Neodiprion lecontei: one gene and its partners. The main gene of each other region encodes a partner of the protein of the gene in region 2 in a complex. Links are inferred from orthologs where the notes say so. Each region holds a gene or a part of one and is shown on either strand. Other genes may lie near its edges.

The links.
Region 1: the proteins of splicing factor 3B subunit 1 (region 2) and splicing factor U2AF 50 kDa subunit are in contact, whole or in part, in a crystal structure (PDB 7SN6), measured with the Homo sapiens proteins. The link is inferred for Neodiprion lecontei from reciprocal best matches to the Homo sapiens genes SF3B1 and U2AF2. Residues at the interface, in NP_036565.2 of Homo sapiens: Ser336, Arg337, Trp338, Asp339, Thr341, Pro342, Ala343, Met346; in NP_009210.1 of Homo sapiens: Met383, Glu388, Glu394, Glu397, Ile398, Asp401, Val402, Glu405, Gln447, Gly448, Leu449, Thr450, Gly451, Arg452, Lys453, Phe454, Ala455, Val459.
Region 3: the proteins of splicing factor 3B subunit 1 (region 2) and splicing factor 45 are in contact, whole or in part, in a crystal structure (PDB 2PEH), measured with the Homo sapiens proteins. The link is inferred for Neodiprion lecontei from reciprocal best matches to the Homo sapiens genes SF3B1 and RBM17. Residues at the interface, in NP_036565.2 of Homo sapiens: Arg334, Ser336, Arg337, Trp338, Asp339, Glu340, Thr341, Pro342; in NP_001139019.1 of Homo sapiens: Leu309, Met312, Val313, Asp319, Asp321, Leu322, Glu325, Thr326, Glu329, Leu372, Arg375, Tyr376, Phe377, Gly378, Gly379, Val382.

Annotation. Positions count from the first base shown.
Region 1 is NC_060261.1:3,587,779-3,600,609, forward strand, and holds splicing factor U2AF 50 kDa subunit, read left to right. Parts: upstream 1-5,015; 5' UTR 5,016-5,152; coding exon 5,153-5,174; intron 5,175-5,262; exon of another isoform or gene 5,263-5,277; coding exon of another isoform or gene 5,278-5,302; intron 5,303-6,029; coding exon 6,030-6,280; intron 6,281-6,393; coding exon 6,394-6,654; intron 6,655-6,733; coding exon 6,734-6,884; intron 6,885-6,970; coding exon 6,971-7,026; intron 7,027-7,579; coding exon of another isoform or gene 7,580-7,603; exon of another isoform or gene 7,604-8,758; intron 8,759-10,227; coding exon 10,228-10,509; intron 10,510-10,609; coding exon 10,610-10,774; intron 10,775-10,898; coding exon 10,899-11,030; 3' UTR 11,031-12,299; downstream 12,300-12,831. Other genes in the region: ankyrin repeat domain-containing protein 27-like, read right to left, coding at 978-3,791; uncharacterized protein LOC107224427, read right to left, coding at 12,415-12,569, 12,660-12,743. UniProt on the Homo sapiens protein: Plays a role in pre-mRNA splicing and 3'-end processing. By recruiting PRPF19 and the PRP19C/Prp19 complex/NTC/Nineteen complex to the RNA polymerase II C-terminal domain (CTD), and thereby pre-mRNA, may couple transcription to splicing.
Region 2 is NC_060262.1:17,195,867-17,205,746, forward strand, and holds the start of splicing factor 3B subunit 1, read left to right. Parts: upstream 1-3,556; 5' UTR 3,557-3,779; coding exon 3,780-3,807; intron 3,808-4,124; coding exon 4,125-4,303; intron 4,304-4,430; coding exon 4,431-4,517; intron 4,518-6,647; coding exon 6,648-6,774; intron 6,775-6,796; exon of another isoform or gene 6,797-7,941; intron 7,942-8,349; exon of another isoform or gene 8,350-8,817; intron 8,818-9,210; coding exon 9,211-9,290; intron 9,291-9,736; coding exon 9,737-9,880. Other genes in the region: FACT complex subunit spt16, read right to left, coding at 116-220, 303-371. UniProt on the Homo sapiens protein: Component of the 17S U2 SnRNP complex of the spliceosome, a large ribonucleoprotein complex that removes introns from transcribed pre-mRNAs.
Region 3 is NC_060260.1:29,028,287-29,037,632, forward strand, and holds splicing factor 45, read left to right. Parts: upstream 1-4,958; 5' UTR 4,959-5,102; coding exon 5,103-5,219; intron 5,220-5,419; coding exon 5,420-5,731; intron 5,732-6,004; coding exon 6,005-6,448; intron 6,449-6,675; coding exon 6,676-6,963; 3' UTR 6,964-7,030; downstream 7,031-9,346. Other genes in the region: gamma-interferon-inducible lysosomal thiol reductase, read right to left, coding at 7,661-7,747, 7,898-8,218, 8,301-8,516, 8,752-8,865. UniProt on the Homo sapiens protein: Splice factor that binds to the single-stranded 3'AG at the exon/intron border and promotes its utilization in the second catalytic step. Involved in the regulation of alternative splicing and the utilization of cryptic splice sites.

The DNA of each region.
Region 1 (12,831 bases), on a different chromosome or scaffold from region 2:
GTTTTATACGATTATTTACTCAAATTATTTCTAAAGATTATAAACTTGGATATATTGATAAGACACATTTTTTAAACATTCTAAAAGCCGCATTGAAAAACCTGTTTTAACGTATAGAAGAGGTCAATTAATTTATAGCTGGCAATCAGATGTCAGGATCCGTCAGAGTGTGCAATGCTTAAATCTGTTTCTGAATCAAAATATCTTTACAGATTTTATCTTGAGATATTACGTTTTAACTGATTGTGAAGCACAATTAGTTTAGATTGGATTATATTTATATCAGTGAAATTTTATCCAAACATGGAATGTATATTTTGAGGATGACCAATTACGTGTTAATTGATTACGAATAACAGTCAATAATGACAAGCATAATATATATTTAAGTAACATGTTTGCAAATACCATATAAAACTGTACATAGCAAAAAAATGGTATATTATATATTATATTTTACACGATTCATACATTATTGTATATACTATACATATTAAAGTTTGTGGTAAAATAAAAACTAAAGAATCAGTCTAATTATTAATGTTTGTCGCGATTTCATTATTCATGTGTAATCTGTAATTTGTAACGAAATTTTGGTACGCATGCATTATTGCTTATGTTGATTTGTACTTAAGCTCGTGGCTAACAGCTGAAAAGAAAAAAAGGACCTAAATTCGATAAAACTAAAAATTGTAGCCTATCAGCGTGATTCAAGATATAAAATAACTTGAGTATAAACTACAGCTATTCCTTTTCATCTTTGAGAGCACTTTCTTCAGTGAACTGTATTCACAAATGTTAAACACTGGTAATAATACAAATTTCAATAACGATTGTTGGTTTCTCAAAGACCATGGCCATTTAGTGACTTATTTCACGAATATTAAGTATTAATATAAACATTGGTACTGTTTATTAGGCAATATGCGTAGTCTACTGTTTTGGTATGTAATTTTTATAACAGCTGCAACAAATAGCTAAGTAGAAACAGCGGTTTGTTCATTCAGTATTCTAGCTATACTGACCATAACTTTTTCTTCAGCTTCTTCTAGTGCAGTGATGGCTTTCGAATTACGAATCTTAGGATTAGCTCCATGTCTAACTAACAATTCAACAAGTTTTGCATTGCCTGTCCTGGAAGCTAAATGGAGCGGAGTGTCTCCAAAATTATCCTTAACATTGACATCGCATTCTCCGCTATTTAAAAGTATTTTTGTTACAGCAAGTCGACCATTTAAACATGCGAAATGCAACGGGGTTTGCCCTCTGGACTTTGTTTTAAAACCAAGCTTTGCACCTGCGTCTAACAGTAACTGAACAAACTCTGCACGACCAGTTGCGCTGGCAATATGCAAAGCAGTCTGGCCATCACCACCCCGACTATTTATTCCTAAGGCAGGCTTCCGCTGATGTTCCTCGGGAACTTCTTCTATCAAAGTACACTGTTCACAGTTACAAAGTGGGTGGCACATCGCAGGTGCTGTAGTTTGTACAAGCTTCTGATCAGGTCCCTCTAAGCCGAGATAGTAGTAAGCCAGTCTAAGATCACCTACAGAAATTGCTGACAAGAGTCTTTCAATTCTGCGAAGTCTCTCTGTGGAATAAGGTGGCTCAAATTGCTTTTCGGTTTTCAACGACTGCGTCATCGCCGGTGAAGATTGGGTTGGCACCAGGCGAGGTGTCGAAAAAAATTCTCTGTGCGCCGCAGTTTCCAATAACTTAGAGATGCTAGTACTGTGTGCTAGCACCAACGGAGTTTGGCCTCTTCTGTTAACAGCTCTGGGTTGCGCTCCGTGTTCCAGAAGGATTTCCACTATTCCAGTATAGCCCCATTTTGAGGAGTAATGAAGCGGCGTGTCTCCGTTAGTGTTTGATGAATTTGGATCTATCGGGCATTTAGTGTGCTCCAAAAAGTATAAGATTGCCTTGACACAGGCTTCGTGACCATTATCAGCCGCTAAATGGAGGACAGTGTTCCCGTGAGCATCTGTGATTCTCGGGTCGGCATCAGCATGAAGTAATAAGAGTAATGTATTCTGGTGTCCTCTGGCAGCTGAACAGTGCAAAGCAGTAGTACCATCCGCATCAACTTCATCAACATTACTTCCGTGACTTATAAGCAAGTCCACCATGTTAGCCTGACCGTATAAAGCTGCGATATGAAGGGCCGTTAATCCTCTGTCATCTCTGGAATTAACGGTAGGTAAACTGAACCTTGCGTCCCTGGCTAAACTTTTTTCGCACGATTCACAGCAGCATAAAGGATGACATAGCTTAACATTTGGCGGTCTAATTTTATCTATAGTTTCCTTAGACAGTATTCTCTCAACTTCTGACGTATTTCCGTGTTTTACTTGGTCAAAAAAATGACTGATTGATACTTCATCCACTCTGTTTTCTTCCAGCTCGTCTTTACCAGACACGTATTCATACGTGCCGTCTGCCTCAGGGTGGACTGATCCTGTCAACATTCCAGATTTGATATGCTCAATGGCTGCCTCAAGAGAAGTAACCAAAAAGCCAGCTTCATCAGTTTCATATTCTGAGGTCGATGAAAACCTAAACTGTTTTATAAACGTTAGCTGAGCTATCCAATTAGGCAGACCCGCTCTTATCACCAAGAATATAAGAACTGGAAGCAAATCGTCTGATGAAACTGAACTCTCACCTTGTGATGCAAAGTGAACCGCACGTTTAAGGCAGCCTATTTTTCCCAGAACCGTTGCGAAACCATCGAGCCTTGCCAGCTCCAATTTTCCTCTAACTGCGCCGCCGTAAAGATCAGATCTGACGCCCAGGTCCCGTAGTTGCAATTCGTGCAGGTTTTTAATCGTTTTATTAAGACACGCATCATCAAAGGCGGTGCAAGCGGAAACATATTTTGGTAAGAGGTTCCTCAACCCGTAAAGAACATATGTTTCCACCGCGACTTTTATACCGTTGAGAAAATGCCTACTGGCAGTTGTTTTCTCCCTCAATCTCGAATCCCTGAGAACAATGCGAAGGCTTTTCGCGTACAAACCAGCAACAAGATCACGCTGAGTTTGCAACGGTTTATCTTCAAGCTGATCCTGGTCAGTTTGTTGATATTCTTTAACCGCATTATCCAGCTCTTCGAGCACCTCCTTGTTCAATATCTCCGTCCAGAGAAAATCTACGCATTCTCTGAGATTTGTCAAAGTGGGCAGGGACTCGTACGAAGTGATAGAACTTCGCTCCAGAATCCGCTCGACACACCATATTCGATACTTCTGTGAATCTTCGGTATAGAAGGTTTCCTCGAATAATATATGCGCTGTGCATGGCTTTGCGATATCGTAATCTACAGTTAGGACCCTGTTGCATAGCCTCACTTCCTTGCCAGTCAATGTTCGGAAGTGAGTAGCTGGCAGCTCTTCGCTTGGTACCAAAATGTGTCCGAGGAAGTCGTCGGCCAGGAGAGAGCCTCGGGAAAAGCTGCCTGAACGAGGAACGCAAATGACCCAACCCTCGTTTACCGCCTTTTCAAATACACTCGTGTACTCATGCTGCAATTGTTGAAAAAATATATTCACGTTCAGATCCTCGTCGTAATTTGATTCCATATCTTTTATATGATCCCATGCGTTTGTCGCTGATGATGAGGTGTCTCGATTTTTAACGAAATATAAATTGCTGTGCAAAGAATATGGGAAAAATATCTTGTTACGACATTTATTCGATTTACGTCGAGGTTGCTTTCGACGCCAAAGGCCTAAAGGCACAGGAACGTCAAAAAAGTGCGAAAATAAGGTTAATACACAACGGCACATCAATGAAATTTATTTTATTCTTCGAATCCGTACACTTTTCGACAAAAGTATCGACTCTCCTTCACGTATTTCTTTCATTGCGTTTTATCGCTTTCGATTATAAATAATTGTTATTGTAATTTTTCTGCTTTGGCTGCTGTCAACGGTTACTTATCAACGACTTTTTGCCTTGTCTTATTTTATTTCTTATTTTTTTTTTAATATTGTTCACCAGTCGATAATTGACGCCTCTAACCCATACTGTTGCAAATCGAATCCAACAGATGGCAAGAGAGAAAAATATTTACAATCGGATAGATTGCATCAAAATGCATCGCTTTCGTATTGTTCTTTTTTTTTTTTAATTACTTGTTTTTTATTTTAACCTTCATTTTTAGAACTATTTAACGCGATGGATTATTAGAAACACGCAGACATCATAAATATAGTATTATATTGTAGTTTTATGTTTATTTGTAATATAATCTGCTATTAGTTATGTCGATATACGCTCAACAAGATTGCTTTAGACTTCTACGAATTTGTAAGTTGGGAATATTTTTTATCAGTTTATTTTGCGTTAGATACTTATTTTCTTTCCTATTATATACAAGCGACTTACGCAGCAGCTGCATGGTGATGTGTAAATTAAATTATATTACAGGACTCTGTGAGTGATCCAAATTGCTGGATTTTTCTCATTCAAAATTTTTCCCCCGTAATAAAAAATTATAATTTGACCAGCCAATCGCGAGCCGTAAAATATAACGCGAATATGTAATATTATGATTTTTTTTCATTTAACGTAAAAAGTACGATACTGCAGAAAAAATCCGATGATGGTTATAATAAGGTCGAGTTGAAAGGAGGCTCAACATTTCTTTCATTATAATTTTCCAATACTATCAGATAGGTAGCTGTTATTGTGATATTACGATCTAGTTTGGATAATTGTGAATTCGGCGCGTTGCTTCTGCGTGCATAATTATCAATCTAAAACAGGAAATAGTTATATATGCCATGCGCCCCATGCTTGATATAACTTGCACATTTTTCTGCAAATATTTTTGGAAATAGTTGCGATTCTTTATAATATCTTTAAATATCCCAGTAATTATATAAATTTTCAATCATTGGATAATAATTACTATTATCTCAATGATGTTTATTGACCGAATCAATTTTGCCGGCCATTTTGGCGTCTACAGAAGTTTCGTCGCTCGATAACTCTCGAAAATCGAAAACTGTTCACTTCCGTCATCTGGCTGCTCGCTACGCCGATATTCCGATTCTAAAATAAGGTGTCACCCGTCGTGTTACGCATAGTGAATAATTGTGATATTCATTGTTGTGAATAGTATCGCTGTTTACGGTTTTTCACAATGGGAGAGGACTTCAATGGAGGTGAGAATATCGTCCCTAAATCAAATACATATTCAGACCCCGTACTAACCTCCTCGGCGGTGGTCTCCTGGCGGTTTCTGCAACCTTATAATAAGATTCAGTAATGGCGGCAGCGTCTATTACACCGAGTAAACACACGGATCTTATTTCGCAACGTATACTTACATTCCAACCTTTCAACGATTTGCACCGTACGAAATTCGAAACTTAAATGGAATCTGATAAGCCTTCGAGCCGCCTTTCGCTGTCGGGATGAATTCCATGTTTGGCCCTATTATACTGGCAATCATCGTGGGCAGGGTTCTAAAATCTCGTCACAGTCACAATGTCATTTATTTCAGTTGTTAACAAGCCAGAAAGGTTCACTAGCCCTCGACTAGCGGTAATTTTTTCTTGACACTATTATTGTAAACTAATCTACTTGGTTATGATCCCTTGTACGAAAATTACTCTATACATTGTTTTTTTTTTTTTGGCCAATTTGCATTTGAAGTATTCATTTCGGAGAAATATGTTATGGCTTGGGTAGCGATGTTTGAATTTGAATTTCAAGGAACAATCCGATACTTGATAATTGTTTCATTTATTCGTTCCCTTTCTTTTTCTAAAATAAGTTGAAAACAATGTGTCTGCTTCCTTTAGTAAATAATTCCAAGATTAGATTAAGTTCAGAAATTATTAAGGTAACAACATTTATGGTAAAAGTAGATAAGGCTAAAATTAGTTGAGAAATGACTTGGGCAACAACATTCATGTCAAGAAAAAAAAAAAAATTAAACTTTAAATAATTCTATTATCATGACATGTGTACTGAGAATAGAAATAATAAAGCATGGATATCATTTTATTCACCAGAAGAGTCATTTGCAGATCGCGAGCGTCAGGAAAGAGGACCAGATAGAGAAAAGGAGAGGGAAAGAGACAGAGATAGGAGACACAGATCTAGGAGTCGGGACCGTAGGAAGCGGTCACGGTCTCGTTCAAAAGATCGTCGTGACAGAAAACGGAGCAGCTCACCTAAAAAGGGTCGCAGTTCTCGCAGGAGAAAACCCTCTCTTTATTGGGATGTTCCGCCACCAGGTTTCGAACACATCACGCCATTACAGGTGATACAGTAATATAAAATTGTTTGTGGTTTTTGACAATTCGAACGCCATTAGTTTCAATTTCAAAGCTTAGATTGATTCCAAATCTTATTCAATCTTTTTGTTTTTTATAGTACAAAGCTATGCAAGCTGCAGGACAAATTCCAGCGAACATTGTAGCTGATACCCCTCAGGCAGCAGTACCTGTTGTGGGCAGCACAATAACACGTCAGGCTAGGAGACTTTATGTCGGAAACATTCCATTCGGAGTTACAGAAGAGGAAATGATGGAGTTTTTCAACCAGCAGATGCATCTTTCCGGCCTTGCACAGGCTGCTGGAAATCCCGTACTTGCCTGCCAGATCAATCTTGATAAAAATTTTGCTTTCCTTGAGGTATTTACTCCGCATTTACTGGCTTTGACTAAATTGATTCTACCGAACCACTATGTCATTTGATGTATATTTCTTACAGTTCCGGTCCATTGATGAAACGACACAAGCAATGGCTTTCGACGGCATTAATTTCAAAGGACAAAGTTTGAAAATAAGGAGGCCGCACGATTACCAGCCGATGCCTGGCATGACAGATAACCCTAGCATGAACGTGCCAGGTACGATTCCTGGTATGTGCTTCTGGTCAGATGTAATGGCACGTCAGAAATTGAGCACAACTTTTTTGGTCACATGGAGAACTTCTTTCTTTTTACAGATTCACCACACAAGATTTTCATTGGCGGTTTGCCCAACTACTTGAACGAGGAACAGGTATGTCAGCCAGATGTTTTAAGTACAAACTCAATATTTACTTGTTTGGGTTCATTATCATTTATTATCTGTGCATATTACGTGGGATGCTAATTTTTTCATCAATTTTTGTGGAGAACGTTGGTTATTGCTTTGTGCAAACATATTTTTTTTTCTCGTTTGCTTTTGGAAAATTAATGTTGTAAGTTAGTCGCTTTAAACATAGCTCTTTCTCAGCTTTTAAGATTCAATGTGAAACTGATGAACTAACATACCGAATGCAAAGAAATTTTCAAATTGCTATTCCTCGAATCATGATAAGACGGTAAACGCAAAATCCAGACTTGAAACATCCCCGTAATATTATTTGAAATATTTTTTAGTGAACACTGGTGGGGGTTTGAGGATCGGTATCGTTTCAGCAAATAAATGCATATTACGATATCGTTTCTCACCGCTACAAGTGAGAAGAAATCATTAAATTGTAAACTAGGTATTTAGCGATCTGGCAGAGACTCTGCGTACAACACCCGTGTGTGAGATTCCTGAGAGGTATGTATTGTTCCGATTTCAGCGTCGTTTAGGGTCGTTTAGCTAGCATAGAAATGTAGGGGTTCATTTTTCATTTTGCCTCTTCTACGAGATTTCGAATGAAGTTACGCCTGTGTATTTTTGTCCATCCAGGAAACTCATTTACCTTCGCATTTAATCAATTTTCCGCGAATTTCGAAATCAGATAAGACTGTACTTGAAAGGTGTGTGCAAAGATTGTCGATGTGCAAAAGATTTTTTGATTCATTCAAAATATCGAGTATTAAGCATGTCGTACAATTAGGGCAAAGAGGCTAGTGGCGTTACAGCTTTTAGGTGGCACGCTGTCGCAGTGACGTTTTTCTTTTACAGCCTTTCTAGGTACATTCATTCGTTCGTACGGTGGATCCAGCCGATTGTAATTTTTATCCTAAGGATTTAGACATTTTTTTTTTTTTTTTCTATCGAAGGAAATGGTCAAACTGAAGCTGGCAGGGCGGGCAGGGGGGTCATTTCAGCCATCTCAACACGTCTGGATATTCAATTGTAACAAAACAAAATGAATAATTGCTTTAAATTCTTATTTGCAAAAAAGGAAACTCTACAAAATGTTTATTCACAAGGTGAATGAGATGAAGGGAGAAATGGTACAATGTTGGTCATATAACTTGCTTTCCTTTCTGAATCGTATATTTTTTGTTTTTTTGCTCATAAGCTAAAGTTGGAAGCAATTCAATTCTGGTATTTTGTTAGAATTTCATGTCCGGCTGTTGAATATTTTTTTTTTTTTAGGTCTGCGGGAGAAATGAGTGGACAGTCCATAGAGAATTGGGTATTTTTTTGGGTGGGTTTACAGGTATTTTTTTAGGTGCATCTGGTTATGACTACAGATTTTTATCCAGTATCATATATTTCAGGAATACTTTTTTTTCCTTCCTATTGCAGCTGTTTTCTTTACAGGCACGTTCTACGTATTTCAGGCATTCAACTTTTACAGGCCAATAATTGTATATTAAACGAAACTAATGTTTCTTTTCATGATAAAGTAAGGATTTAAAAAGTCAAAAAAAGTGTCTTGTTAAATTTATGATGAAAAGCATAACAGTGATCTTATAACCGTAACATAACAAAAGAAAAAGTACAAGAAATCAACAACAAAAATGAAAATCGTTTGGAAACATAAAGAAAATGTGGACTGATACCAGTGCTCTTTCTCCCCATTTCTTAGCTTAGGGTCGTGCCGATCAAAAGCATTCGCTTACCACTACCACTACTTCTACCACTACCACTACCACTTCTACTACTACTACTGAACATGACAAAATACTACACTTGCCGGAGTGCGGGTAGTCTGGTTTCTTGAGGCAAGTATTCATATCAGTTTGCTTGTTTTCACATTTTGGAAAGAGACTTTTGCAGCCACTTGGACGGCGACCGTTAAATGGCTTCTGAATTTGGTGCGTATCTTAGATTTTTAAGAGTTTCACGATGACAGCACGTGATCCATACTTGTCAGACCTGGCTTTGGCCTCTATGTACAAATGTGTATGGAATTTAACTTTGCGCATCTTTGGATGTGACAGTTATTTTTTTTGTATGAAAAGAGATGACTTACTTGGTTGAAATTGTATAATTTACTGATACAAGTTTAACGTGCTGTTATCAACAAAAAAAAAAACTACAACGTTTCCAGTGTCTCTGACAAAATGTCAACACTGTAAGTAGACAAAAGGTATAGTAGTGCGCATTAGTGCAGTATACAACCCACGATTCTGTATTTTTATGTGTATATGCATATTAATACATTTATCACAAACCCTCACCTTAACGCACTTCGTGTTGCATTTGGTACAAACTTTATATTCAAGAGTTTGTATTTCATGTATCGAAATGCGTTATCGTCTCATGTACAAATTTTATCCATATCATTTAATTACGTTTAAAAATAGATAGACGAGCACATTGGCGTGCTAAACATTCAACATTCCTCACATTCATTTTTTTAATGATTATTTCGAAATGCAAACTTTGTTAAAACAAAACATTGAAATAGTCGATTTATTTCTCTCAGTGGAAACGAAAATCCCTATTCAATTTATTTTCTACAAGTGTTTGCGTGTAGTTAATAGATTGTAACGATACGCGATTTCCATTTAAATTGGTTTAACAATCAGCAATAAATTCCTCCTTTTTGTTACTTGAACAATAAACTTTTTCCATCACAATTTATTTGTAATTATCTTAATAGTATATGATACATCATCAGTAAATATAAGTATATTGTGACATTTATGAAAGCAATGAAAGTAAACAGAACACTTGCTGGGGCTAGTGGTTGTAGATGATCTTAAAAAATTGCACAAGAAAGGAACAGGTGAACAACATAGATTATAGATCGATTCTTCAATTCTTTTTATAAATAAACAATATACGCGAAAAAAAGTAGATTGCTATTGTACCAGATTCTTGCCATTGATATACGAAGTATTTGAATATTCATAATCATGATAGAGCCAATTTTGTTTCTTTTTTTGCGTTCAATTCGATTCGTTGATATCTGCTGAGAATATGCCAGACTTTGACAAAAAAAAGTGAGCAAAATCGTTATGTTTCAAAATAGACATTCCACTTTCAAATTTAATCAGGATACCTCGGAATTAATACTTGAAATGATTGATAATGAAATAACAGGTGAAGGAACTGCTGATGAGCTTTGGACAACTCCGGGCATTCAACTTGGTGAAGGATTCAGCTACAGGATTATCGAAAGGATACGCGTTTTGCGAGTACGTTGATGTCACGATGACCGATCAAGCTATAGCTGGGCTCAATGGGATGCAGCTTGGGGATAAAAAACTTATTGTACAACGGGCCAGCGTCGGAGCTAAGAATCCAATGATCGGCGCTCAGGCTCCAGTTCAAATTCAAGTTCCTGGTCTCTCGATGGTTGGCACTAGCGGTCCAGCTACCGAGGTACAGGGGACATTTGTTTTTTTGAAGAAGTTCTCTTTTTGTCGTGATCGTCAGACCAAATTGAACCTTTACTTGAACTACTTCAATAAAATTTTTCTAGGTGTTATGCTTACTCAATATGGTAACACCTGAGGAATTAATGGAAGAGGAGGAGTATGAAGATATTCTTGAAGACATCAAGGAGGAGTGCAACAAATATGGAGTCGTTCGGTCAGTAGAAATTCCTAGGCCCATCGAAGGCGTTGATGTTCCTGGATGTGGAAAGGTTCGGCGTTTTATCAATATTTATGCAATTATTTACAGCATGATGAATCGTTCTCCGAATTTCATCGATTAACTGCCATATTGTCTGTAAAACTATGTCTAATCAATGATTAACTTTGTTCCAGGTTTTTGTTGAGTTCAACAGCGTGATAGACTGTCAAAAGGCACAGCAAACGTTGACTGGACGAAAGTTCAACAATCGAGTCGTTGTAACGTCCTATTTTGACCCTGACAAGTACCATCGCCGAGAATTTTAAATATATACGAGTTCCATTCCTCGTAACAGTCAATAAATAATCAGAAATTGAACGCAATTGTCATTGTAGCAAAAATTTTGTCTACTTGTATGTTATTCGTTAATTGATATGCTTTTAACTATGATCAAGTGCTACTAAATCAGTGTATTGATATTATTTTTAAAGTATTCTTAGTTTCCCACTTTTCAAATGATTAGAAGAAGTTGTATCTCATTTAAATTTAACATTTTTTTTTTCTTTCTATGCTGGACCATCCATTGGGCGTTTCCCTTTTTTTTTAAATATCTCTCTGCTTTTGCTCTCTCTTCTTGTGAATCATATACAAAAGCAACATTACTACGGTAAATATGGCTATGGCTAACAGAATCAGTACCTTGCGCGATAACATGAGATTAAACGTTGCCTTCGATATTTCCCTCTTCTTAGTTTTATATAATTATCAAAGGCAAAGTTTGTGCTTACGTGACAATGGTCTATTGACGATTTTCAAGACGTATCCAGCGTTCTTCACAACGGAGTAACAATTATCTACTAATTATCACGAGCTTTGAGAGCAATTCATTTAATATTGAAGCAAATACGAGCAGAACTCTTATAATAATATTGTTTCTTTGTGAGTCGCAAAATTGTCGTTTCGTGCTTTAATTTAATACGGGCACAAGGTACGGTCTCTTTTTTATGGCTTCCTTGTGATCTGTACGGAAATCAGCGGTTACCTTTCCGTATGAATATAAGGTCATTTGTTTTTCATAATAATTTCTTTCAAGTGCAACCAATGCTCTTGAGAGTTGAATATTTGCTTCAGCAAGTCGACAAATAATGATTGATTGAACATTATTTATAATGAATAATTAATACCTATGTGTCCCCGAAAAGTAGGGGCAAAATCTTGCGCAAAATATGTTATTTATTTAATATATACATGATTTATGGTGAATTTTATTAATATGCCATGCATTATTATTTGCAAATTAATACAATTGGTAGAATATATTACCTAGATTTTGTCGCTACTGCCTAAAGTATAGGCTAACGTCCAATCAGTATAAATAAAATTAAAAGAAAAAAAATAATGACTACATTGAAACAAAGAATCCTAATTTTTCGCTCTTTATTGGCAAAGACATACATGTAAATATAAATATAATATAGAAAGGGTATAAATAAAATTTGTATCATCTTGAGTGGGAATAACAAGTTTTTTGTTTTATTGTATGATGTTTAATCACAACGCCACAGAGACGTAATGGAGAATTTTTTAGATCGGATTCCAAAAAAAAAATTTTTGTTTCTTCGCCTATAAGAATAACATTATATTGACGTAAAATTAAATGTATCAAGACGATGTAATAAATGGGTGATTATTTGAGTGTGTTAGTAGAAATTAAATTTCTTGTTGCAACGCAGGCTGGTAAGAACTGTCTGTATCCACGCTGTCCACTACCAGCCTTTTTAGCAGGCCGTAAAAACCAGCACCGATAATCAGCATTCCAATACCGGTCATCAAAACTATTGACCAAGCTGGAATTGCGGTGCCTCCTGAAATATGATCAGAGTTTAGTTTTCAATTGTATTTTTCTATAAAAAACGTAAAACTTGTCGTGATTGTTTGTATTTTAATTTACTTACTGTAGTAACGTCTGGTTATTGTTTTACGTCCTCTGAGAATTTTACGCCTTGCTTCAACTTCTTCCATGAACATTCCCATGATCACTGTATTACATGAGGAGATCAAACGTGTAGATTAATGGATGAATAATGATTTATTGATATCGAGTGAAATACTTAGTTAGCATTTTTG
Region 2 (9,880 bases):
AATCGTTTGTTTACATTAATTTTTTGTACACTCTGTAAAACAATTTATGATAGTTATACATCTAGAAATATAGAATGGATAATTGATAAATTTAGTTATATGATCAGTATCATACCTGGAGGGCTGTAGACTTGCTGTATACAATATCTTCGTCAATTCCGACCGCCGACACGAGACTATCCATCTTCGCAAAACTATCATCCGTGCCGGATTCACCATCCTGTATAAGAAGTAGACATGTTTATAAAGGCCAATGTATTAAGTAAAAGTTTTCAAAACGAGACTAACATCGTTATACTCACTTTCCACGCTGCGTATAAGCGTTTTATTCGCCGGAAAAATGTGTCTTTATCAAGAGATACGTTTGCCATGGTACAAAGTTTTTAGGTTGATCTTTGTACACAATAAATTATTATGTGAAGGATGACGTACTCCTTCTGAATTAAGGCGAGAATGATAAGACTTGTTGAAACATTCACGGTACACCGTTCAACTTCAACTCATCACGCATACTTGTGTTACCAAGATTCCAAAATTCCGACGGCACGCTCAAACTCCGACTTCCGATGCGGACATGGCGGGATTACAACCAAAGCCTGAGAGTTTGTATATGAAAGAAGGGGCAGCTTGTATCCCTTCCGAATTTCCGGAAATGTGGTTATGGTGGCTTTTACAGGCGTTTTTCACAGCCCTGTAATATCCGACCGGAACAACCACGGGTATGTTCCGATATACACTGCGAGCACTGTTCAGTGGTCTTACTGGGGAGAAATTCGGTCCATTATTGGGAAATCATCCACTCAGATACGCTACCTGACGGATCAAATATAAACTACTCTATGCAGGTCAAGCTTAAACTGCTGATATCAAATATAATATGTGAGAAATGTAGTTTAAAAGTGTTAAACTTTTTTTTAAATATTAAGTAATCAATTATTATCTATAAGCTTAGTTATTACTTAAAAACATCTTAAATTTCAATATTTGATCAAAAAATTTAATCATGGAGTTTCCACCACGAGAAAATAAAAATAAAACTTTCTGCTGCGTGTATGGGTGTAATAGCAAGTCTAGTAAGAACAATACAGTTCGATTTTACACTTTTCCTTCGGCAAATTCTAGTTTTGTAGTAATCAAAAATAAATTTGGTGAAGATGAAGTAATTGATCGTCGATTAGCTTGGATAAAAGCATTGAAAATTGGGAATGAGGTTACACAGTCAAAAAAAGTGTTTTCATTACATTTCGCCAAAAATGATTTCATACCAACATGTAAGTAATTACCTATAGAATTTCATTTCATAATTACTTGTTTATCATCAATATGAAATGATATTTTTTGTAGTGTAATATTTGTCAGAAAAAATAAAAAACAATAAACATTAAATTTTATTTTCCATTGCAGCCAATGTTGCGATATTGCACCCACAACTTCATGCGGTGGATCTTTTAAACGAGAAGTTTGGAGACAGAATGCAATTATTTTATACTCATTATCACAACTAGTATCTGATTGCTGTAGGCCACATTTCATTAGATGTCCCGCATCAAGTATATCTTTACCACCAATAAAATTTTTATGACTAGGCTGAGTATTTGCAAACTCACAAATTTCTTGTATTGAAATTTTCATATTTTATTGAATTTTTTTTGAAAATTCGAGTTTAATAACTGTAAATAAATACACGCTTTCACATAAGAACACGAAAGCTGATTTAAAAATGCGTTTTAGAATAGTTACTGCTTCTGCCGCAAGGAGAAGCCACGCCCCCGGCAGATTTCCCAATAGGCTGACAGTATACAGTTGCAGTATCCTAGGGAAATAAATGACGTCATAAATCGTCGTCATTTTTCTACTCTGAACACTGGTGTTTTCGAGGTAAGGTGCTATCAGTGCTTTGCTCACGTGATCAACAGCGTTCAGAAATTTAACAGCTTCCACTATTGATAATTATTATTATTGAATATTGTCATTTAAAAATACCGGTCGTTAAAAACAAATATGGAAAATTTGAATAAATTGTGTTTATTGCAGTGTGAAACAAATATGATGTATGAAATGAAAGTAACGCCAAAAAATGTCGATCACAGTATACTGTACTGCGTTCCGTTTAAACAGTAACCAGTATAGCTAACTATAAAGGACCGGCTTCGCAGTATACTAAATTGACGTCACACCTTACAGTGCTCGCAGTGTATGTCGGAACATACCCCACATGTATATGTAGCTCAGTTCGTTTTAGTTACACTTTTCTACACTTTTTTTACACTTACCCTGAATTTAGCCAATGGAAGGTGCCCTTTCCTAAGGAAAGTGTAAAAAGTGTAGAAATTGTAACTAAAACGAACAGAGCTATCAGGTTTGTTCGTGCTAGCTACACTCTACACTCGCGAGTGTAAACAGAACTACGGTAGTGTACTAGGGATTGCTGGGGAGGTACGTCGGCTTCTCGAGTGTAGCTAACACCCGTATTCATAGTCCCTCCTTATCTCAAGGATAAAGGACGCCTTGATGAAGGCTTCATTAAATCTCAGCGGCGTCCTCGTTTCATAGTCACAACTTGGCTCTCCTTTCCAGAAGGAAGACATATTTAGGGATATGTGATTGCTTATGGTGGTAAAACTGCTGATCGAAGCGCCACTCGGCTATATTTAAATATAACTTAATCCGCTTGGCTCTCATTGTCAAGTTGCGTCGGTTGATTTCACGTTTCATAGACCTTCCTCGACAGAGTAGCCGTATTGGCCTCCTTCTTTCAAGGCAGGTCTCGAGCTTCCTTGAGGAAATCTTCGGCACTGCGATTGGCTGTTTCGTTTCATGTAGCCAACGCTTGCGCTTGCGCTTGGCGTCTATGCACTTATGACCCGTATGACGCAGGATCACAGCCAGTCTACAGGTTAACTTCTTTGAGGTTATACACACTCTCATCACCGACGCAACTTGACAATGAGAGCCAAGCAGATTAAGTTAGATTTAAATATAGCCGAGTGGCGCTTCGATCAGCAGTTTTACCACCATAAGCAATCACATATCCCTAAATATGTCTTCTTTCTGGAAGAGAGAGCCAAGTTGTGACTATGAAACGAGGACGCCTCTGAGATTAAGGAAGCCTTCATCAAGGCGTCCTTTATCCTTGAGACAAGGCGGGACTATGAATACGGGTGTTATTATTTATAAATAGAGGTGCGTTCCGAAACTAACTGTTGACAAGCCTTTATTTCTTTTGCGCTGCCGAGTTCGTAAGTAGCTTTGTCTCTGCCCTAGGGGAGTTTTCAGCGCTACCAGCTAATTCCGGAACGCACCTATAAAATATTCCTCACAGCACTGCGAGCTAACGCATCGGAACCACGACTTTACATGTTTGGATCGGAACGTGATCGGAACGCATTCCTGGTGTATACTGAATACGAATTACCTATTTTATTGGTATTCCTATTGGTTAAGAACTAGGCAGCAGAAGTCCTTCCGCGGTATTTTACTGCCCATGAAAATGCAGACTTCGCATGAGAAAACGCCACGAAGTAATGAAAACGCTATCAAATGACAGCACAAGAAATCATAATAATGAAATAAACCGAACGCTTTGCCCGCCATTTTAATTGATCGTAGTAAATCTGTTATCACCCACATCCATGGTTATTACCTGTTCAGTCGATTCAGATTCTCTCTGCCTTGTGTGTGTCGGTCAATCGTAAATTTGTGAAGAAGCAAGTGCTTGTTTATTCGATCAGTATAAAAGAAGCAATATTTGTAAAATAGTGCGCAGAAGGCTGTAAGCCATGGATTCAATTCCACGAACCCACGAAGGTAGGTTTTGCAAATTAGACTTCACGCTAGCCGAGGCATGACCTGAGCTGAGAATGTTGAATTGATAACGTCGCGCCGACGAAGCTTGACAATATATTGTATTGTATTACTGATGATGCACACTTTCATTTCTTTGCATATTTTCGCCGAATATTTACACTCCCGGCACACACCTAAATAAGCAATATATCCTCTGTAAGAAAGTCAGCCGACATACACACAACACACCTTAAACAGTTGACGGTTATAATTGGTATATAGTTTTTAATAGTTGTATTACAGTCGTACACCGTTATGACCTTTTACATGCATTACAGACATCGAAGCTCAGATCCGTGAAATACAATCGAAAAAGGAGATACAGAATAAAGAGCTGACTGAAAAAGAGCAAGTAGGGTTGGGAAAGACTGGATTCTATGATCAGGACATATACGATGGTAGCAACAACAAATACGATGGTTATGTCACCTCTATTGCAGCTAATGACGAGGTTGAGGTAAATATCTATGTTTATTCGCAAAAACGGATTGCCAAACAAAATTGAAATAGTTTAGGTTGAATGGGGATAATGAAGAATTGAAATAATCAGGTATACGTAAGTCTGATCAAAATATTCTTTTCAGGATGAAGATTATGAACCAAGTACATTTAGTCAAAGCAAGAGGCCAGGCTACAATGCTCCGGCAGCGCTGCTTAATGATGTTGCTCAGGTAAATAATGGTTTACTGAAAATTCGAATGCCAGACCGTCAAAACTTGCAGTATAAGTAAACGAGTTTTGCTTTTGTCTCAGGAGGTCCAACAGGATTGTAAAAATTGTTCATTTTGTAACTATAGAGAAACTGTCCGTTTAAGATTTGAAATTGATCTATTTCATAAGTTTTCCGATACATTCCATTTGCCAAATTTATGGAGAGGCGGCGCAAAAGGGTTGGGGTCAATGAGGGGGTTATGTAACATCAGTCATATTGAAATAGTTGGAATTACTTAAATTGCAGGACCAAAGATGATACTTCCATTTATTTCAAAATGTGACTAATTTTTCATTTCCTGTATGACTACTCGTATTTAATTTCAATAACAAGTGTTATCTAATTATCAATATTTTTCACAATATTCCACAACCTGTTAAGAATGTTTCCTCTCCAATCTGATTTTTTTTTTAATTCATAGGGGTTTCCGCAATCGCTTAGAAGCACCTAATTCTACAAGGTTGAAATTCGTAATGTAAATGTAACAATTACACTTTGTAAAAACCATTAATTATAACTAGGGTTGTCGGAAATTCGGCCAACTATAACAATGCAGAAAACACTCATATTCTTCAAACTCAACTCTTGAAGTTATTTTAATATTGTAAAATAGTGACTTCGTGTTCATTGTTCTATTACATTGGCATTATAGTCGAACCTAGATATATGGCCTTGTCATGGGGCCCGAGAAGAGAAAAAATTCTCTATGAAAAAACTAAAACTAAGGGTTCCTCTTACAATCAAACTAAATCACATCATGCTATTTCTCCTTTAAAATCCATGATTATATTTAACAGCTGAATAATTTTTTCTTCAAAAGTATTCCTTTTTTTAGTTACGCATACCATGTCATTGAACATCTTTTTTCTTTAGTTATTGAATATTTGAGTTTTGCGAATATACTTTTTTTTCTATTAAATATTCACATGAACAGATTTCATCAGTTTGTATAGTACCAAAAAAAAAAATAAGAAATCTAAAAATATCAAGACTGTACAACTGTTTCACAATCCATAACTAAAAAATGATGTTCTGGATATGCTCCGTCTCCATGCATGCTTTCAAAATAAGATTTAGTCATTAATAAAGATATCACTATCTTGTAATATTGAAAAGACTTGAAACAGTTGAGTTCTCACAACAAGAGTATGATTTGCTTTATTGTGGCTTACTTAATTTCAGACAATGCCAAAGTTATGAAATAATAATTTATCCTGAAGGTTCATTGTTACATGATCGTTATCAACTTTAACTTCATCTTTGAGACACTGTCTCCAAGTGTGGCAGTTTTGCAGTGTAGTTGGATACTTCATCTGACTTCAAGTTTTTGGGAAAGTCATTTTAAGATACCATGTCATTCCTGATCGATACTTTTTACAATATCAATAAATTAAATGTTGTAATCCTGTTAAATATTAAGTAATGGTTATGTAATCACTTTCAGAATTTGAAAACTGAAAATATGAAGATATCAATGTTGACATTCATATGAAAAATTGCGGTATTAATCTACAAATGGAAATTTAGCATCTTATCAAAGTTGAGCTTACCTGGGAAAAATGTTTTCATATGATCAGAGAAAGTTCTATGAAATTATATCTAGAATTTGACCTGATGAAAATATATAAAACTATATGCATGTGATTTCACGTGATTTTGTATAATTTTATCTAAGTTAATATTTTCAAATTTGCGTTATAATTTCACATGAATTTATCTGATTATATAAAAACATTTATTCCCAGGTAGATAGAAAGTGATAGTTCAGTTTAATAACGATGCTCTTGAAAATTCAATTTACACCCATTAATATTATCTAATTGTAAGACCCGGATTTGCAGATTGCCATGTAAACATCATATCTAGACCAAGCATTATGTTTAGAAATTTTTTTACATTTCCTGGAAATATCTGTATTTCTCAAGGAATATTTCTTACATTTCAGTAGATACTCTGTCTTGCTTTATTTGATCATCTCCTCGTTGAGTGCTGAGAGTATATTGATACATTGAGATTATTGTAATTTGTATCACATAAACCTCCCTTCAGTTTGCCTTTTTGAAATAGATTTTTTGCTCATTTTGAATAGAGTGAAAAGGACTATGATCCGTTTGCTGATAGACGACGACCGACAATTGCGGATAGAGAAGATGAGTACAGGCAAAAGCGACGACGCATGATCATCTCACCAGAACGTGTCGATCCATTCGCTGAAGGTTGGTAGTATTTTTTGTAAGGCTATAAATTACATTTTAAGTACACTGCAGGTGATTTATATTTATACATTCTATACCCATAAGTACATCATACAACAATTTTATTTTTGTGACTTCATTTTCCAATATATTTTTTAATGCATCCCCTCATTTATTTACTTAATCAGATGTCTCAAGACTAATGCATACGGTTTACACAACCGTGAAGTCAACAATTGATCGGGTTTTGCAGAATTGTTCATTGATGGAAATGTAACATTTTTTTACATCTTACGCAAATTTGTCAGGCATCATAACTATCAGATAATTGAGTGGGTGGATTTAATACTTTAGCGTGCGTCGCTTCATTTACGTGCTTTCATTGAATACTGCTTGGTCGAGTTTAATTAATTTATCACTTTCACATTGCTATTGTTCGTACCTTTCATCATCATATGATAATTTGGGCAATTTCAAATCTTGTTGAAACTTGAAAATCCTTTTTCTGGTTGATGATGTACCATTGAATAAAAATGGGCCTATCTGTTTTCAAGCATGAAGATATTATCCAAAACTACAATCTGCGGCGTGTGACAGTAGGTTAATCAACTTTGACATTTCTTGCCAATAAATGTTTGGGAAAAAACAAAATAATGTCGAAGACCACAAGATCCCATGTTTGGAATCGTGCAGTAGCAATTAGATTTTGGATATTTCTTGCATGGATATAATTTGTATTACAAAGGATAACTGAATTATTTCATTTCAACAAAGTCAACCTTATCTCTGGAATAGTGAAAAGTCTTTCATTAGACTGTTCAATACCATCTTGAGGTTCCATGCATGTGTTGCTACATGACTAGTTGTGCTTTGGCTATTTAATGAAATCAAACAGGAAAATTGGCATTTGTATTTGAAGAGTCAGTTAAATCTTGAAGTCAAATTTGATATTACCAATTGACTTTCACAGAAGAAAGCAATGCATTCCTCTTTACGACCAACCGAAGGGATCTTGCGAATTCAATGAGTACGAAACATCTGTAAAGATACAATAAAATTGTAAGGGGTTTGAATGGAATGAGCGAGTGAGTTTCTTGAAAATACATACTAATGTAAACATTTTTTTCCAATCTTAGTGACGGTCTGCACATTTGGAATCATCTACTTACCCAGGATACTATGTCGAAGGTTAAACGACATTAAGTCGTCGCCATTTTTAAAGATTGTCTGTTTCAATAAAAGATATGATGAAACTTTTTTTTAAGACATGCAACAAAATTTTAGTGAATAGTTATATAAAATACTGAAGTTGGTACACTTTAGATAACTTGGAAAAGTACCAAATTTTTTCTGTTCACCTACATGGACTAGATAGTTTTAGATAATGTTCTAAATCCTGAAAGTCAGTACATTTGTGACAATCTGAATATAAATTTATCAAATCGTAACTTCTACTACATAGACTGCGAACTTACGCAACTACATTGTAATCTGTATCACGCTTCATTTTCATGTCTGTTTATTCTCTATGTTACTTGTTTTCTTTCCAACTTCCTTTTCATAATAGAGAATCTGTTCTTCTATATTAGTTAAAATAGTTTATCTCTATCGTTTTTTTTTTTTTCAGTTTTTTGTATCATCACAAAACTGCATGATTTAGTTTGAAAAGTTTCATCATATGTTACAGGCTGTACGGAGTCTTACATAGATTCTGACACATTCGATATCCCTAGAAATTTTACGACTCACGATGTTGGATGAATACCGTTAGCATTGCCGGCCACCCGCCGCAGACTCTGCTTGGCTTCTGCTCGGGCCTAAGCGCGCGGCCGGTAGTGCAAACGGTGTTCAATCAACACTGTGAGTCGTAAAATTCCTAGGGATATCGAACATGTCAGAATTTATCTAAGTCTCTGTACATAAGAATATTCAGTCAAATAGAATGAGTGGTCTGAATGCAAATATTATTAATAACGAGAATGAGTTGATTTTTAGATGGCTAAAGTATTTTACGATGTGGAAGACTTGAGCGGGGCTCTGCTCCCTATGGCACCAAACATTCACGTACGTATGCCAAATGTCGGCTACTGTTGCAGCTCTCTTACACAAGACAATGAAATTTCATGCAAATATATTCTCAATGAATTTATAAATCGTTGAGTTACATTTGTTATTTTCGTAATGTTCTTCACTAATCTGTTGATACGAGGCACATATTTTACAACGAAGTAATGCTATGAATAATCATTATTCCAATGTAGTAATTACAGCAGGAGAGCGAATTCAGTAGCTTACTTGGAATATTAATTAATATTCTGAGGGCATTGACCAGATCTTATAAAGAAATCGTATAGGAAACAATGAAAGAAAAATCAGCAAACGTTTTTGGAAATTGAAAATTTTCTAGACAATCGACTAACAGTTACGCTTTGCGTGACGTTTGATTCATGGTTACAGGCGGTAAGACTCCAGATGTCGGCTCAAGGACTTACACAGAGATCATGCGCGAGCAGTTTCTTAAAGGGGAAGAATCTGAGGTAAATAAATTCAATATCAGGCCACAGATTATCCCATTCGCTTTTTTGTACAGTATCACGTGCAGTCTTGATTTTTGTTGTTTACAATTTTCCTGAGATATACTGCATATTAAATAATTGTCAAGTATACGAAATAGGGGTATAATTTTCTGACAATATGATTGCTGCTATTTATTGTGTAGAATTATTCTTACATTACGAGAAGAACGCAAGTTTTGAAGAAAAAGTCAATTTTTGAAACTAGTCGAAAATATCTCAAAATTGTTGAAAAACTCAAATAAAGGCATTTTGAGTAATATTTTCATTTTAAAGTGAACGGGTTATTTTATGAATAATTTCTGTACCGCACTAAGTGTTTTATTTAAAAGCTAATTCTGATTAAATTACCGTATACCATATCTTCGATGCCCTAATTCTTCATTAATACTTTAATATTATATTTACAGTTGAGAAAAAAATTAGTGGAGAAAGCTAAAGATGGCACTTTGAAGGCCAATGGAGAGCCGAAGCCTGCACCGAAAAAACGAGGTCGTTGGGATCAGACAGAGGACACGCCTGTTGCAAAAAAACCGGCCGGTACAGCAGCTACT
Region 3 (9,346 bases), on a different chromosome or scaffold from region 2:
CACTTTCTTTCTTCCGGGAATTGACTGTCATTTTCTTAGAGCACGGTGCTGGTAGTTACAGGCATAAGCTTGAAAAGCCCATCAACGTTTGGCATTCGTATCTGTAAACAGTTTTCTATGGAGTAGTCAATCGACTTCCTACGCCAATGCAGTGGTAAGTGCCCCCCGGCTTCCCCCAGCTTTACCCACCGTGTCTTGCCTTGCCTCGGCTTGCCATGCCAAGCCAAGCCATCCGCAGCCGTAGCTCGGCTAGTCGTTTCTTTTCTTTATTCCTTTGTCGGAAAGTCGGCGGCGAGCCTCGATTTTGAGAGAAGAAGAGAGGAGGAGACGGCGATGTGGTGAGGCGGGGCCCGGGGGGAGAAAGAGAGAAAGAGCGAGGGTGAGCGAGAGTGGGAGAGGAAGAGGAACGAGGAAGACAAGGAAAGAGTAGGTAGAAAAAAAGGAATGAAAAGCAAGAGAGGAAGAGAGAAGGAGAGAGGAAAAAAAGGAGAAAGAGAGAAGCTGAGAAGAGTGAGAGAGCCTCGGAAAGACGCGGCGAAGGGCAGGAGGGACCGTGGAGAAAAGAGAATAATATGGTTGGATTAAAAACTCGGTACAGGCTCCCCTCTGAATATCGGTTGGTAATAATAGTACCGAACCCAGGGTCCCGAAAAATCGGGGATCTTTCTCCCCGAACCACGCAACTATAATGCGGCGTTGTGGCCAAGCTGAAACGCGGGAAGATATGCGTATAAATAAGCCCCGGGGTTGAACCGCGCGTTATTCCCGCGTAAACAGGCGTTACACGGTCAAAGTGTAAAAATTTGCAGGGGGAATTAATCGAGCCACATACCAATATAGCATAACTGTATAAATTGCAACGTTGGTAGATTCTGTCCGAAGCTACTGAAACGAAAGCTGCGCGCTGCGCCTGAGCGTTTGATTTTACTACGAGGAGACCTCCAATTAGCCACGATCGTGTAATCGCGCTTCGGCTTTATATTCCCAGCTCACGGATTAGCCGTGACGGTTCGGAGCCGACGCACGGTATGCGACATTAGTTCAGGTAGGCGAGCTGAATGTATCCAGCGAAGTTGAAGGTGTAAGACTTCCCGTAGCTGGCTAACGCGGAGTGTTTATCGCGGTGCGGGCCGTCAACGGGCCGAGGAAGAAGGTACGGGTACGCGGATGTATGGGACGACAGCTGGCTGTTGCTTACCCGGATCCCCATTACGAGAGGCCTCGAGGATTGGAATCGAGTTCCGAGAGCAGCGGATCGAGCCTCCGCCTTACGATCAGCGCTGCAGTGTCGGGCGACGCGGGCGCTTTTTAATAACCGGGATCATCGCCGCGGCGCGGCCGCGAGTATTTCTCGCAAGATAATACGCACACCCGTGCTTTTAATACAACCGTACTAATTAAATCGATAAAGACAAGCGGTATCTATCGCGGTTACGATTCGCCACAGATGGAAGGAACGCAGGGCTCGATGAGGATCGGTCCAGGTAGACCGGCAATACGCTTTTACCGCTCTCTAGCTGCAGCTTCGCCCTCGGTTTTGCTCGTCTCTCGATCCGGCCCGGCTCGGCTCGGCGCAGCGCGGGGTTCCTCGGTTAGGGATAGAATCTGAGAGGGGGGAGGGAAGGGAGGCGGGTAAGGTCGGCGCGTTTGATCTCCGCCGCGGGCGCCGACAAAGCGTCCGTCCTTTCGTCCGTCGGTCGGTCGGTCCGTCCGTCCGTCCGTCCATGCGTCCGTCGCTCCGCTCGGCTCCGCGCGCCTCACCCGGTGGGCAGGAGAGAGTCGGCGGCGTCGGCGTCGGCGTCGGCACTCGGGCGGGACGCTGGCAGTCGTGGCCCCCCGTCACTGCGTCATGCCCGCTTCAGCGCGCGGACCTCCTCGGGTACCCGATGCCAGTTGCCACTCCCTGCCGGTGCGCACCGAGTTAACTTTGCTATTAATAAATAACTTTGAAGCCCGTACACACATGGCTACGCAACCCACTACTTTCAGAAGCTGAAAGTTCGAACTTTGCATTTATCAAGCTGCACGCCGCCGCTGCCACTTATTTTTCGCTCCCGATTCACCCCTTCCAGAGACTCATTTACTTACAGACGAGACTTCCGCTTCGTTGCCGGAAAACTACTCGCTAAACTCGTACACTTGCGCGAATACCGTTACACATGCATATGCATACCATACGTGCTCGGGGATAGAGTCGCGCGATAGTTTTATTCGCGAGTTATACCTGTTTACGTGTATATGCACGCACTGCAGGGCATATAAGGATTTACAACACTTCCTTGAAGAAATATTACGACGGGCAGATACATTCATTCGCCTTATACTGTTCGAAGAAATACGGACGTTGCAGGAGGACCACTGGCGTTGAATCGCGTTACGTCAGCGGTCCCATCGGGTTTTGGTTTTGTCTGAAACGGATGGACGAGGCCTTCGCATAGTGCGGACGTTTCATTTCGTGGAACGGTATCTCGTTACGTAAATCGTAGAAGCGAAACTTGAGTACCTGAATTGTTCGCAGCCGGCGAGCCTCGATACTTCAATCATTATGTTTATTGTTTGCAGTTATATCCTTTGACACGAGCGCACTCGTTCATTCATCGATTCGTTCGCCCCTTCTCTTACTCCCCCAACCGCAACTTCCACAGGGACCAGGCATCACTGACACTTCCCGGTGCCATAGCGCGTGTGCAGCTCAGGATCCATACACACGGATCGCATAATGCGATAACAGCAAAAACTTGGAACGGCCGAACGAATTGCATGTGCGTGGAACAGCTGTAGCTATACGAGCGTGGCAGCGCTTGGGAACTTGTGTCCAAACGAAAACTATTTTCACCGAAGGATCTTACGACGTCTCATTGTCGGTCGAGTATTATTGAATGAATACTGTGTCCACAACTGTATATCATAAAGTGAATTTGTTGTAATGGTATGGATATAGATATATGTATATAGCTATGTCGGTATATCTTACAGGTATATATGCGAACAATGGTAGACGTTCTCGATAACGCAACAATATGGCTATGATAAGTGATAATCCTACGACGTATTTGTACGACGATAAATCAGAGTAAACATACGACCTTGAACGTGGAAGTACCTACATTGCCCACGATTCTCTTCTGGTTGCTATCAGTCATTCCTTCCACTATCGGAAGAATGAAATGGCAAAGGAAAATAAATGATCTTCTGCATAATCTGCAATCATGTGTATTATATGTTGCTGAGTAATAAAATTATGGTCTTAAAAATGCAATGAATTGATGGTTCGAGAATTTTTTAAGGCTTTCTTTATTTTGTGTTTTCTTCCTCCCTTTTAAAAATCAGATTGTCTCCAGAAAAATCTCATCGTCAATTTACAGACAGTAGGCGAGGTTTAGTTTGATTTAAATAAAAGTTTAATTTTCACTTCGCATGATCTGGAGTTATTGAGTGGCTGTACACATTGGTGACTGTTTCAGAGTCACGTACGCGTGCAACCCGTTGGCAATTTGAAATACAGGTTTTAGCTGGCTCTTAGTTCTATGATAAGTTAATGAGATGGTTGACCCATGTTCCAACGACTAGTCGTCGTAGTTTTTCTCGTTAAAAATGCTTTCATTGGTTTTAATATGTTACGACAGTTTTATAACCGTAATCAGCTATAGGGCTTGCGTATAAAAACGACCCCCCATTAAGAAGGGGAGATCAAAGTTAGAATATAATTATATCGATGTCCAAGTATCTTCCCATGCATGTATGAACGTAGTTATTACAGGACAAGAGTAACGTAAGTGGGAGAGTAAATTCCTGTGGTTTAATCAAAACACTAGAGATCTGTACGTTACTTATTTCGGACTGGCTAGAAAAAGGCACTTGTTCAATTAGATTTTGATACATTTAATGCATTCAGCGAGTATCGCATAGCGCGTTGGTTTCACTTTTCCAAATTGAACGTTAAAAATTTGGGGTGATCATTATCAACATTACGACTACAAAATTACCTGAAATTCTGTACAAGCAATTGCAGCGTAGCGTCATCCGGCGGATGATATTCACACGAAGGTACCCCAGACCACAGAGTTGATAGAGAGAGCCTACTCTAGCGTTTTGTGTGGCCTCCATTTTTAAGCGTCATCCGACACAAACTAGGTTTTTGAAACTACATTTCGACGTAGTTGCATGTTACCGACTCGTATTCTACTATACTTGCCATCACGCAAGCGGTAGATGTAAAGAGCCTCTTTGCTCGGAAGCTTCGGAACCTTCGGAAGCAAGTCTTGATCGGCCGGAAGCGCCATGCGAACTTCGCGCAACGCGACCGAATTTGTTGAATTTCCGGAGCAAGTTGCGTCAGGCGCACGATCCAAGAAAGACTTACATCGTGGTCAGGCGTGAATATGAATTCTCTGACAACTTTTCGCCGAATACGATGTGTCTAAAAATAAACGATAAATGAGAAAGAAATGGCAAACCTTGTCTTTTCTCACTGTACGAACTTTGGATTGAAACTAATAAGATAATGTTAACGATAACGCATCTGTACATAATTTGATATGTAAGCAGTGGTGTTCGTAAATGTAGATGTTGTAATTTTTGCGGAGCGATAGTTACTTTTTGGAACGATTTTATGAATATATTGGTTAAAGAAGTACCTAACTTTATCAAAGGAATGAATCGTTATTGCTACCTAGATTCAGTCCTTCGAGGTCGATGTATTAGTAGATGATAGATAAGATTTTACACTAAATTATGAGCTTACAAAGATTGTATATTATTTCTTCCTGCTGCAGAAATACTAAGTGATAATGTTTGCGATTTGTTCAGTTTCGTTACCACTACTGTGACACTCTGCTATGGTAAATATGCCCTGCCTTATCCACTGCTCAGATGATGCTAAATACGGCAGAGTCGGTCATCAGTATATGTGGCGCCCTGTATTTATCGACTTGCTTTATCTGGTAAGGGCTGGTAAACGCATCGATATGCACGATTCCATTCAGTTATATTCAATGGTTGTTCTTGCAAGAACTGTGAATCGTGCTACAGACTAGTGCAGACTGAATGATTGAAGGTTATATTTGACATGTCAACAACATCCACGTTGAAATAGTACAAAAATGTCATTGTACGATGATTTTGATAAGCACCGAACAACAGAAAAAGTCGCAGGGTGGTCATCGGGTATTAAACTATTACAGTCCCAGCTGCAATTAAAAAAAGCGGCAACTACACAGGTAATATTTCACTTAACCGCTACTTTGTAAGTACATTCAATAATTCAAAACGTTTTACCGTTATCGAAAACTTTCGAAAATTTCGTTTCAAAAAAACATTTCAGTTTCAAGATTTATTTATTCCGTGCCGGGAATATGAAAATAAAACATTCGCATTTACTTCTAAATTGAAGACTAATATCAAGAACAATTTTTTATAGCCAAAAAGAGAACAGTTCAGAAAAGCTGCGGCAGTTTTGGCACCTGTGATTGACTTGAAATCAAAGGTTAACCGCGATGGCGAGAAAGACGAAGATTCACAAACAGGAAATTCTCTTACCCTTAGTGGTACAAATAATGTCGGAGTCGGAGGCGAGTTTGATTGGAACGTAGTAAATGAATATGACCCAATGTGGCCAAACGAGTACGAAAAAGTCGTCAAGGAATTACGTGATATTCGGGACAGAGAACACGACCAGGAAAATGAATTACGCAAACGCAGACGCGACACTACCAGATTTGAAGATCCACAGGTATGGGAATCGAGTTTTTCAATTTTCATTGTTTTACTGGTATCGCTAAGTCGTTGGATTTTTGTTTCAAATAAGCAATATTGTGGCTGGCAATTTTATATGTCAAAGTTAGAAAGCTCTTTCTTCTCTATTGTCGTCTTAACTGAATACTAGTTTAGATCATGAAGAATATCCAACATATTTAAGCAGTTTGTGTACAGATTGTTCCAAGCCATTGAATGTAACAACAATCATGCTTTCTTCAATATACATAATTAAATGATCCCAATTTAGACTTCCCCTGGCAGCAACACAATGGTCGCACCAGAAAGAGACGAGGAAAGAACACCAACTTCGAGAGGAGTGGGCGGTGGCGCAGCTATAGCACCTCCCCCATCCCTTCAAGAGGCACCAGATCTAGCACCTCCTCCACCTCCAGCACGACCTCAGGCATCGAATCTTGGCTACGGTGCTTCCTCCGTAGCTGCAAAGATCATGGCAAAATATGGCTTCAAAGAAGGCCAGGGTCTTGGTAAAAAGGAACAGGGAATGTCTGTTGCTTTACAAGTAGAAAAAACCAGCAAACGTGGTGGTAGGATAGTTGGCGAAAGAGAACAATTGATGCCTCCTCCACCACCCATGGTACCTTCGCCACCACTACCTGTCGCCCCTGTTCCACAACCTGTGGTTCCTCAGGAGGAGCCAAGCATTACAGAGATTATGAAATCACCAAGCAAGGTTATTATAGTAGTGCCATGCGTAGAAGTCTGCGCAAAATTATTTGCCTTTAGTACAGGTCTATTTTGTTTCTCTTTAGTTAAATGACATGATCTTAAACAGGCATACGAATCTCAAACCTTGTTCAACTGGCTGTGAAATTTCACCATGCCCGTTTTGCTTTTTACGTTTCCCACTAAGTCTGGGTATATGAGTATTATCAGTCATGTGAATTTTTTTTTCAAAAGGTGGTACTCTTACGAAATATGGTTGGACCAGGTGAGGTGGATGAAGATCTTGAGCCAGAAGTCAAGGACGAGTGTAACACAAAGTATGGGGATGTATCGCGTGTTATGATTCACGAGGTGATGGACGTCCCGGCTGAAGAGGCAGTGCGTATATTTGTAGAGTTTAAGAGGATAGAAAGTGCGATCAAAGCTGTAGTAGACTTAAACGGTCGCTTCTTTGGCGGAAGACAAGTTAGAGCTGGATTTTATTCCTGTGAAAAATTGGACACCTTGCAATTGATGGACTAAACTTGAAATACATGAATTTTTTTTAAATGTGCGCCGTTGGTGAATAATAAAATACTGTCAATTAAAATTGAGTTGAATCATTTTCATCGTAATTGCTACCTGTTTATTCGGCTGATGATTATTGCACTGCATTTAACAGTAGGTTTTAGCAATCGTGGTTTCTTATCGTAGACTTCCAATTTTGGTTGTTTGGATTGATAGGCAATTGTAATTTTGAATCATACGAAATACACGAATATTTCGATTTGAGTTTCTACTTATCTATTATGTTAAATTCATACAGGGTAATTTCATCACGAAATATACAGACGTTCATGATTTTCTCTACATTCGAAGGCCGTGAGATTGATTAGTGAGTAAAAATACCCTAAACATGATGTGTATATAGGCATTTTCATTACTACAGATTTCTTTAATGGGGTGATAATCATTGTATTTAGTTTTGGAATGCAAATCCAAATTATAAAATGCAGTTGATCAGAAGTTAGTTAGTTCAAACATATTGTAACGCTTTTATTCTTCATACATAATCGCAGTTAATAATTGTTTGTAAAATAATGTATTTGATATACTTCCCTGTAACTGGGGTAATTCAAGCACAGTTTTCGTTGGTGAGCGTCGTGATATGTAGGAACAGATCGTTTGAAATATAGAATTATGCTGTTACAGCCATAGCTTCGATAACATCAATGAGATGCTATGCACAACCTAGAGGTGGACTATTCAGTCGTGAACACACTTCTTTAAGTAGATTTTTTAGAATGGCTGCCTGATTACTCGAGTCCTTGAAAAAAAATATACAAGATGGATGACAGATAAAGGATGATCAGGAAATTGTACTGACACCGATATCAACAAAGATTATGCATGAAATTTAATAATTCTTAGATTGCATAATCTTAGATAAAAACTATTTCTAAGATACTTATCTTACCTTGTCGAGCGTAATAGTGGGTATGAATACCACTTTGGGAGACAAGTCATCTGTCATTTCCCCAAACTTGGCCAATAGCTCTTTCCCTTTTGTCCCCTTATAACATTTCTCTATAGGTGTGACATCTAGGTTAACCTTGGCAGCACATTGATGCATAACTCGTTCAGGTTGCATGTTGTCTTGGATCATGCAAGAAATATAATCGAGCTGTATTAACTGATCATTGACTAGATCAATAACACAGGCATGTATGATATTTGCCTCACACTCGAGTGGCCCATGTTGGCACGTAAATTCGTACCCAGTGGGAGTTTCGACTGTCTGAAAGAGGAAAGAATTAAAACTTGAATAATCAAAAGATTGAATTCTAACATATGGGGATAAGCAGAATAGCCCGACTTACCTTGGCTTTGCCATATGGTATGAGTTCTACCTGCAGGTTCTCCTTTATCTTTTGAAATGTTGGCAATAGCTGTTTGACTACAAAAAATTTTGAATCTGGACAAAGGGCTTCATAATACACGGAGACCAGCACCTTCTGTACATCCGTCTTTGGCGGCTCGGCTATATCTATTCCTTCGACTAGCTCTTGGGCCGCCAGTGATTTTGCTGCAGAAGACTTAATGCGTGTTCAAGCAGGTTTAAGCAAAACAAAATCTTTAACTATGATTTCAAGATTCACTAAAATCAACAAGAGGTAAAAAACCTCATCTGAGAAAGTTGGCTGGTGGTGGTTTAACCATTTAACTATGTTCAATACTAAAATTGGGGCTCGAATTGCCAAGCGTTGCTTTGCATGAACCCTAGTTTATGCTCGGTTCGAATAGGTAAGGTTATGTTCCAGTAGTGCTTACCTGGGAAGGATCATCGCTGAATTGGAGAGACGGCCAATATTTGGCTGACTGGTACAAAACGAGAGCAGTGCAAAGTAATATTATTAGACGGTATCGAAAGCTTCCGAGTCCCATTTTAAATAATAATAAAAGAAACACTTTCTACTGCGATAGACAAAGCGGTCACATACGCAAACTTGGAATGACGGGATTGTTTATTTAATTAATTTTACACAGAGATAAAGTTAGCTTCTCATATTTAATACGGCTGAGCTTGTATTAGTTAATCTTGCGTCGCATGTTTAATCGAAACCTTATGGTTTCGCAAACTCATTGCGTACGCAAGGGTTTATTTCGAAACCAATATGGCGGCGTCGATTTCGATATCTACCGATAATCGATATCACCCTTGTTGATGCAATCTAATAGTACGATTGGCGTGATAATATATCATATATTTAATTCACCAATACAAACACTCGCTCCATACTTTGATTAACTCAGTTTTGTATCAAGTTTGAGTCTGCTTGAATGCCTATTGAAATGAAATGAAAATTACCCAAGTATGACCGTTATCTATTTGCGCAGGAAATATTATCTTAGTAATTATATGCTA